Linked DNA regions of Daphnia pulex. The protein of the gene in region 1 purifies or fractionates together with the protein of each later gene. This does not show direct contact. Links are inferred from orthologs where the notes say so. Each region holds a gene or a part of one and is shown on either strand. Other genes may lie near its edges.

Region 1 (4,034 bases):
AGTACAAGTAAATTTAAATGATCAACAATGAAGCAACCTTGTTGTTTGATAGTTCAAGCTAATTTTGATATTTTTAATCACCTCAATTTTAAATTCAATTGTTGCATACGATAAGGTGTAACCGTCAACTGTTTGCATCCTGGTGCTGTCAAAACTGAAATCTTTCGCAACGCTCCAACATGTAACATCATTTTTTATATGTTGTTGTATTCTGATTCAGCCAAATATTACTCGAGTAATTTAATTAGGGTTCCAGATGGTAGCCGCGGTCTGCATTCCACTTTTCTTTAAGGTTTTTTATTTTTTTTTCTTTTTCTGCTGCATTTTAAAAAATCTCATTCCACTGTTTAATTAGTTGTGAATACTTCATTTTCATCAAGCATACATACACTAGAAATTAAATGTATATTAACTTATTATTTTTTCTTATAGGTAAAAACATTACTGTCAATGCTCTTCATCCGGGTGTCGTTCAAACTGAATTTGGTCGTTTCCTTCCTTATGAGACTTTAGTGAAAATTGCATCACATGTGTCTTCTATTTTCTCAAAGGTTTAAGACGAGAAAACTGAGAATTCAATTTTGTTTCCTCATTCATTACTGAGATTGATTTACATATCCGTTGAACGTTATAACTGTCTACCTTCTATATTTCAGTCGGCCAAAGAAGGTGCGCAGACAAGTATTCACTTGGCTGTGGCTGACGAAGTCGCCAACGTTACAGGAGAATATTTCAGCGATTGTAAGGTAAAATATTAACTTAAAACAAAAAACATTTATTAATAATATAGATGCCTGCAAATCAAAGCTGATGCATACAACGATAATCTAAAAGTTGATAAAGATGTACCGGAAATAATATTTGCAATGCAAGTTTTAAATATTTTTCGAATTAAAAATACAATTTTTTTAAAATCACAGATTGCTAAAACGTCCAAGTTGGCAAAAGACCTCGAATTAGCCAAGAAGCTGTGGGAGGTCAGTGAAACTTTTGTCAAGTTGAAGCCAGAAGAGCGCCATTTTTAAAACACCATTAAAACAAGGTGATTGTTTTTGTGGACGTCCAATAAAATAGGAGTTCAATGATTATGAATTTATTTAATGTACTTTATGATAAGCGAAATGACTAATGAGAGGAAAGTGTAATATGTGTTTCCATAATCCGTGTTTTGCTTTTGCCGCTTTTGCCAACTGTCCAGGATAGCCGTTTCGGAAAATGGCAACACTGTATGGTTCCTATCTCAGCTGTTCAGTGTTTACAACTGTAAGCTGTCAGTTGTGCTGATACTTGTCAGTGGTCACTGTTTCTCAGCTTGGGTCTATTTACTAGTTGACTATATACTTTAAAGCAACTATCAATACCAATCATTTACGAAATAATCGAAATATTTCCTCATCAGAAACAAAGAAACAAAAGCTCGGAAACCCTTCGCTTAAGAAATCTAGAATCTGGACAGTTAATAGCGACGTACTTAGACGTATCTTAAAGAATTAAATCTAACAGATCGAATCTGTTTACCAATTTATAAGTCAAATTTTATTAACAAAGCAGCCATGGCTCATTTATCAGCTGGCAAAGTCAACTTTAGTATGCTGAGAGAGTTGGCAAGAAAGGTACAATTTTATACAGTAAAAATAAATTTTGTCAACAGTTTTGTTATTTTTACAGGATATTGTTTCTCTTTTAGAGAAGTTCAGTGGAACAAAGGTATTTTGGTGTGTGCTATTCCATTTAAGAAATTTACGTAAATTCATCAATTATGCTAGGCGATATTTTGGGATGAACAACTCACTGGCCCCATTGGTTTGGTGGCAGAATACAGTTTTCTTAAGGAACTAGATGTTGTAAAAATGTTCCAGTTAAAACCTGGGCGTTTGCCTTCCATATCTGTTAAAAATATACTGTTCATCACAAGACCTGAAGTTGAGCTGATGGATTGTATTGCAGATAACTTGCACAGGTATGAATAATCTACATATTTTAACTTTAAATAGACAACAATTAGTTAATTTACATTTCAGCGAAGAAAGCCAAGGACATTCTGCTAGTAAGGAATATCAGTTAATTTTTGTCTCCCGACGAAGTGCAGTATGTGAGCAACGGCTCAAGGTTGGTTAAAGTTACTTAAATCAGCGAAGAAGAAATTGTTGACAAAATTATTACTTCATTTAGGACAAAGGAGTGTATGGAACTCTTACTTCTATTGATGAACTGCCTGTTGATTTTTTCCCACTGGATAGTGATGTCATTTCAATGGAACTCGATAATGTTTTCAAGGTATTTATTTATGAGCCAAACTTTGAAAGGGATTGCTTGTCATTGATTTCTTCAAATTTCTTCCCAGGATCTATATGTTGATAATGAAATCAGCTCCTTACACCAAATTGCTCATGGGTTAATGTCCCTCCAAAGTTTATATGGCATTTTCCCCAACGTTGTGGGTAAGGGACGCCATGCCCGTAACGTATTCGAATTGATGACTCGAATGCGACGTGATATTGGGGTAGACTGTGATCCCCCCATGTCTCCGTTGTTCGACACTCTCATGATCATTGATAGGACTGTAGATTTGATAACTCCTGTTGTCACTCAGTTGACCTATGAGGGTCTTATCGACGAATTCTATGGAATAAAACATAGTAAGAAAGTATTGTTAGCTTCTGTGTAAAACAATTATTTTACTTGCATTTTGTGGTTTCATTGTTATTTAGATACAGTCAAGCTTCCAGGAGAAAAGTTTCAAGCCTCTTCACCTGCGGGCCAGTCACCTCGCTCTGATGATAGCTCTGTTAAATCTGTTGTTCTAAACTCGGCCGAAGAGCTTTACGCTGATTTGAGGTGAAATTTTGAATCAGACAAATTTTGCTTCCGACAGTTTTAAAGTTATTTATTTTGCACAGGGACAAGAACTTTTCAGCCGTGGGTACTGCACTCAGTCGCAAAGCTAAAGCTATTTCAGCTCAGTATGAAGAACGACACGAAGCAAAAACTGTCAGCGAGTTGAAGCAGTTTGTAGCAAAACTACCGCAGATGCAAGCCACCAAACAGTCTTTAGCACTACGTAAATACTTTGTCGTATTTTTTCCTGGCCATTATTTAAGCTGTATTACGCATTATTTAAGCTGTATTACGCATAATTTTTTTACAGATACATCTGTCGCTGAATTGATTAAAGAAATAACTATTTCAGAAGCATTCCAAGAGGCCCTTCAAGTGGAGCAAGACCTTTTGAATGGAATTGATACTGACAAAGTTTGTCCATACATTGAAGATTTCATTTGTAAGCAGGAACCATTGACTAAGGTAACTGAAGTGGCAGTTGGATACATTTTGCCATTTCCCTTTATTTTACATTTATAATTATCACAGATTCTTCGCTTGATTTGTCTGCAATCTGCTGCCAATAGTGGCCTGAAGCCGCGCGTCTTAGAACACTACAAAAGAGAAATTATTCACGCTTACGGATTCCAGCACATGATTACGCTTCACAATCTTGAAGCTTGTGGTCTCCTTCGATTGCAGCAAAGTAATCGTCCTTTTACTGTTATACGGAGAGCGCTGAATCTTACGGTAGATGACGTCAATGAAATCACACCTACTGACATCTCCTATGTACATTCTATTTACGCGCCACTAAGTGTACGATTGATTCAATGGGCAGCTAAGCCCGGATGGAAGCAGATTTCCGATGTGCTTAATTTGATTCCAGGACATTTGGTTCAAGAAACTCAACCAATTTCCATTGATTTAAGAAGTTTGTTTCCGTTTCTTAGTTTTTATGAGACCTTATAATCACACTTCGACTGTATTTTAGGAAATTCTAGAAATAGTGTCCATAGTTCGATTGAAGAAACCAAGGTCACATTAGTATTCTTCCTCGGTGGATGTACCTACGCAGAGATTTCTGCTCTTAGATTTCTATCTAAAAGGGATGATGGTAAGTAATTAGCGTTCAACATATTTTGCAAATAACAACTTAAACAATAACTTTTTTTTTCCTTAAAATTTTTTAGCACCTACAGATTATCTGATTG
Region 2 (4,295 bases), on another chromosome or scaffold:
GGAAGGAAAGTAATTTTTCTTGCGCATATTCGGCGTAGAGGGAAACTAAAAGGCCGTGGAATTTTCGGCTTCCTTCCTTTGGTTCTTTGAGATACAACGCGTCCAGATACTACAATTGTAGCGAACTTGAATTAATTAAAAACTCACACGATAAGTTTTGAACGACTAACCTTGAATAACAATTGTGGTTTAGTTTGTAGACGTGACACCACTAAATCGGAAGGAATGTGTTCGCTGTGTTCTAGGAATAACGTACAAGCTTGGTTGACGTCCAGTTCCATTAGTGCGAGGATTTTATCGTGGACGGTGGTGAAGAGCTGATGTTGAGCAATCAACCGAAACACATCAGCATGCTGAAGTCTGAAACAAAAACTATTTTGAAATCCGTATCGCGATAACAGAATAATAACCTTGTTTGACGTACTTGAGGTACATTGCCAGGGCTCGATCGTATTTCTTCTCGTGAGAATACAAAATAGCCAAGGCTTCTAGAAGAGTGGTATCATCTGGATCATGGCGAAGAATGTGCTCGAGCACAGCGTTCATTACAGCTGCAATGTTATAGAGCGTAGGACTCCATTCTCTTACTAGCCGAAGAAAGCCCTGGAAATAGAATAACGTTTAATCATTTCTTGATTTTTTTACTCATAGTATTATGTGTTCTTACAGCTGAATCAGTTTTGAGAAACTCGAAGAGAACCATTTCGTAAATATGTGGATCCAATCTACATTCACCTCTTGGAAGATAAGGGGTAACAGCCCGTAGTTGGTGCAATCGAGCAAACTTGAAAACTTCCTCTTCCCAAAGATTTTTCTCTTTGCCTGTTTGAGACGAACAATTTATAAGAACGGCTAAAGTGAGTACAAATTACTGTACGAACCCAGAATTTTAACACAGAGCTTGGCAGCCATCTGGAACTCTCCCTTCGACAAAAGGAAATCGAGGTACGTCCTACCGACCTGAAGAACAGAATGGCATTTCAGTTCACGTGCTTGTGGCCCCGTAACTGCTTCCATGGCTTCTTCGTATTTTCTATTTTAGAAATAAGATAGTTCTTTTTGTGAGAAAAAAAAAACTTTGAAAGTTGCGCTTACTGATGTTCCATAAGCCACTGGACGTGATCGTCAGGATTGCGCGGTTTAGCTAAAACAACATCTTTTGGACTAACGATGAAAAATTGACCCTCTTCAGCCAGACATTCTGTAAATTGGCCAAAAGTAGTGGTCAATTCCAATCATATACCAGGTTGATTTGCTTTATTACCCAAATGATATTCGTTGCAAGAGTATTCCTGAAAGCCACGAATTGATAAAACATCTGCTGAGATTTCATTGTAACTTTCCTGGTGTGGTTCCACCAACTTCATTTGAGGTCTTTGACCCTTGCCAGATAGTTCCTCGTCTTTTGGAACTACTAAAAGGGCTAAATGATTGCCCAGCCATCCAGCGCCAGCCACGAATGAGTCAATAATAAACATCGAAACTGGAAAAGATAAAATTGCATCTATAACGTTAAGAAAAAGGGAATACTATTTTTTCAGGGTAAACGTACCAATTTCAACGTAATGTGTCGGAAGATTTAGTCGCTCTGCGTCAGCATCCGGACGCCTTCGGATGACACAGACCTTGATGTCATCTGCCCAAGCAACGACCAGTGTCAAATCATCCTTCCAATACAGGATACACCGATAACTTTCTGGGTTGATTCTGTATTTTTTATGTGGGATTTAGTAAACAGTTTCTAATAATATTTAAAAATGTATGCATACCCAGGGCTGATATCTTTCTTGACAACGCTGATTATGCGGCGAACAGACATGTCAAAGACTCTTACTCCCGTTGTGCTCGCCCAAGCAAGAAACCTATTTTTCCACTTAATGTTAGTGATTTCACCTTCCCCTTCAAATAAGGTGGTCGATTTAAGGCGAGAAAGAAACACTTTTTCATGTAAGATAAGCCTATCATCGCCAGTTACGAATCTTCTTCCAGAACCAGACTTGTAGTACAGCGGATCAAGAGCAATAGCTTTGACAGGTCGATCAACCATTAGTGTATGGCAATTTTCTGTAGAGTAAAGCCCAGACACCATAACCTAGAAAATTAAAGATTTTTATACCTGAAAGTGAAAACTAAATGCTTCAGTCTACCTTTCCATCATTTGAACAGCTACCAATATAGTCTCCTCCACTATCAATATCAACCATATTTATTGCCATTCCATGAGTGGGAAACTCTTGTTGCTGTGATGAATGCCCAAGATGATCAAGTAAATGCAATGCTCCCCAATTGGTTCCTAGACACATAAACTAAAGGGAAATGATAAAAATATACTACAAAATACATAGACATTTTTAACAAACAAGCACTGTCAATTTAATCATATTTACCTTAGGATGTACAGCGATACAGCTGGCTGCATCTTTCTTCAGGATAACTGTTATATCATTGGACAATCGCTCATACTTTAGCTTAGGTTCAACTTCTTCTTCTTCATCATCATCATCAGCAACAAAACTGTGTGACATCTCTGCAGCCTGCTCCACAAAATCATGCTGTTCAAGCTTGCTAACAGTTTCTTCCATGATTTCCTAACATCAGTTAAGGGAAACATTTTGTAAGGCAACATATAATCTAAGTAAAAATGAAAAACTAACTGAGAAACTACTTACAAATAATATAATTTTTTCTGTGTAACAAAATAACTAGAAATCGTTTACTGCGCCTTTTAACTCTGCAACATTTTATCGTCACTGAAGGGGTGTCAAATGCAGACGACTCTTGATCTTTTTGTTATTGTTTTTGCTGGTTTTTGTTAGTTAAAATCATAAAATGGCAACGTAGGAGCACAGAGCATGATTAGTACGTTTTTTGATTTGACGTGCAATAGACTTTCTCTGCAGTTATTTTTTAGAAAGACAACTTTAATAATGTTTTCTTGTACCATGGTATAGGATTTCTATACCATGCTTTAGCTACTGTAAAATTTCATCTTTTCTTGGCCCACATCCACATACTGAGACAGTGAAAAGCTGAGAATAATGTGCCTTCAATGTAGTGAGTAGTTCATTTCTATATTCTTTGCAATTTCTCAAAGTTGAATAACTACAAAACATTAATCTCTTTGTTCTTTCATACTATTCAGGATGATTAACATTGAATGGTGGTCTCCATGAGCAAGAACCCAGTATCCAGTACCATCTTAATCATCACCGGTAAGTCAAGTTTTCAATTAATTACGTATCTTTGACCAGATTTATTCAAAAGGGAAAAAATATCTGTATCAAGGATAAGGGGGAAATAGCTATATTTTCTGTCGTAGTATAGAGAACATGTACTATTCAAAGGAAAATTAGATTTATCAAAGTATACAGACAATGTAGTCTTCTATTGGTTTTCCCTTAGTCCCCCCTCCCTTCACCATTTTACAACACAATTTTTCTTAAAACTGCCTGTGAAAACCATGCATTTTCTTGATACCCATACAGATGCTTATTTGGTATATTTCACAAAGTCCATTTTTGGAATGCTACTGCATGAAGTTGGCATATTTGTGCTATAAAATGATTGTTTTAGAAATCAAATTAGTTCATTTTTTCAAGTAGACTTGTGACAAATTAATCATTACACAGTTGGTGTACGGAAGGCCTGCGGTTGAATTTGCGCAATAGTTCCATCACTGTTGTCACAGATGATGCGGGCAAGACTCACTTTCTTGATTTCGACCAGTTGATCTATTAGTAACATTTTTTTTTCACATAGTAATTGAGTAGGCCACTAAAGATTACCAAAATTGGTTTTGTTCTTACTTGCAGTGAAAGAAACCGATTGCGTTACATCGGTATAGAAGAAACGATCAGATTGCCTCAGGTTCTCAAATTGCTTAGCTATAATATAAGTAAATGTTGGTCCCACCAGAGATCCTGGTGCTTTTGTCTCTGTTACTCCACCGATGTATAAATCAATGTCGTTCACCGAGCCATAAATTTTCTTGAAATATGTTACAATCTAAAAGTGATGGTGAAAGTGTTTAGGTTTTGCACCATAAAAATGTCTATTAAACAAAGTTTTAATTGGCGAGTTTTAAAAGTGCATACTTCTGGTGAAGTGGTTGAATTTAGAGCATCAAATGTCGTTGGGAGTGGTGTTTTCAAATTCAAGGCAATTTGTCGGGCTTTAATGTAATTCGGCAGACCTATAATTGCATATCAATAAATATTTTAATTCATTGCTTAATACTTTCCTCAACTAAACGAAAACTTGTGCAGTTAAAGAGAAACTATTAAAATTTGAATTAA

The links. The genes of interacting proteins can lie anywhere in the genome.
Region 2: the proteins of vacuolar protein sorting-associated protein 33A-like (region 1) and vacuolar protein sorting-associated protein 41 homolog purify together in Homo sapiens (affinity purification with mass spectrometry; 5 studies listed by BioGRID and IntAct, counting the BioPlex papers as one, with this or other methods). This does not show direct contact. The link is inferred for Daphnia pulex from reciprocal best matches to the Homo sapiens genes VPS33A and VPS41.

Annotation. Positions count from the first base shown.
Region 1 is NC_060022.1:3,591,293-3,595,326, reverse strand, and holds the start of vacuolar protein sorting-associated protein 33A-like, read left to right. Parts: upstream 1-1,231; 5' UTR 1,232-1,553; coding exon 1,554-1,613; intron 1,614-1,668; coding exon 1,669-1,707; intron 1,708-1,766; coding exon 1,767-1,960; intron 1,961-2,021; coding exon 2,022-2,109; intron 2,110-2,172; coding exon 2,173-2,277; intron 2,278-2,344; coding exon 2,345-2,639; intron 2,640-2,711; coding exon 2,712-2,838; intron 2,839-2,900; coding exon 2,901-3,061; intron 3,062-3,148; coding exon 3,149-3,303; intron 3,304-3,369; coding exon 3,370-3,754; intron 3,755-3,814; coding exon 3,815-3,937; intron 3,938-4,013; coding exon 4,014-4,034. Other genes in the region: retinol dehydrogenase 13-like, read left to right, coding at 433-551, 657-746, 921-1,025.
Region 2 is NC_060028.1:9,539,087-9,543,381, forward strand, and holds the start of vacuolar protein sorting-associated protein 41 homolog, read right to left. Parts: upstream 2,802-4,295; 5' UTR 2,670-2,801; intron 2,589-2,669; 5' UTR 2,583-2,588; coding exon 2,388-2,582; intron 2,307-2,387; coding exon 2,148-2,306; intron 2,093-2,147; coding exon 1,770-2,092; intron 1,708-1,769; coding exon 1,553-1,707; intron 1,484-1,552; coding exon 1,265-1,483; intron 1,202-1,264; coding exon 1,096-1,201; intron 1,034-1,095; coding exon 882-1,033; intron 823-881; coding exon 668-822; intron 604-667; coding exon 425-603; intron 361-424; coding exon 171-360; intron 110-170; coding exon 1-109. Other genes in the region: peroxidasin-like, read right to left, coding at 3,490-3,553, 3,626-3,731, 3,807-4,005, 4,095-4,192. UniProt on the Homo sapiens protein: Plays a role in vesicle-mediated protein trafficking to lysosomal compartments including the endocytic membrane transport and autophagic pathways. Acts as a component of the HOPS endosomal tethering complex.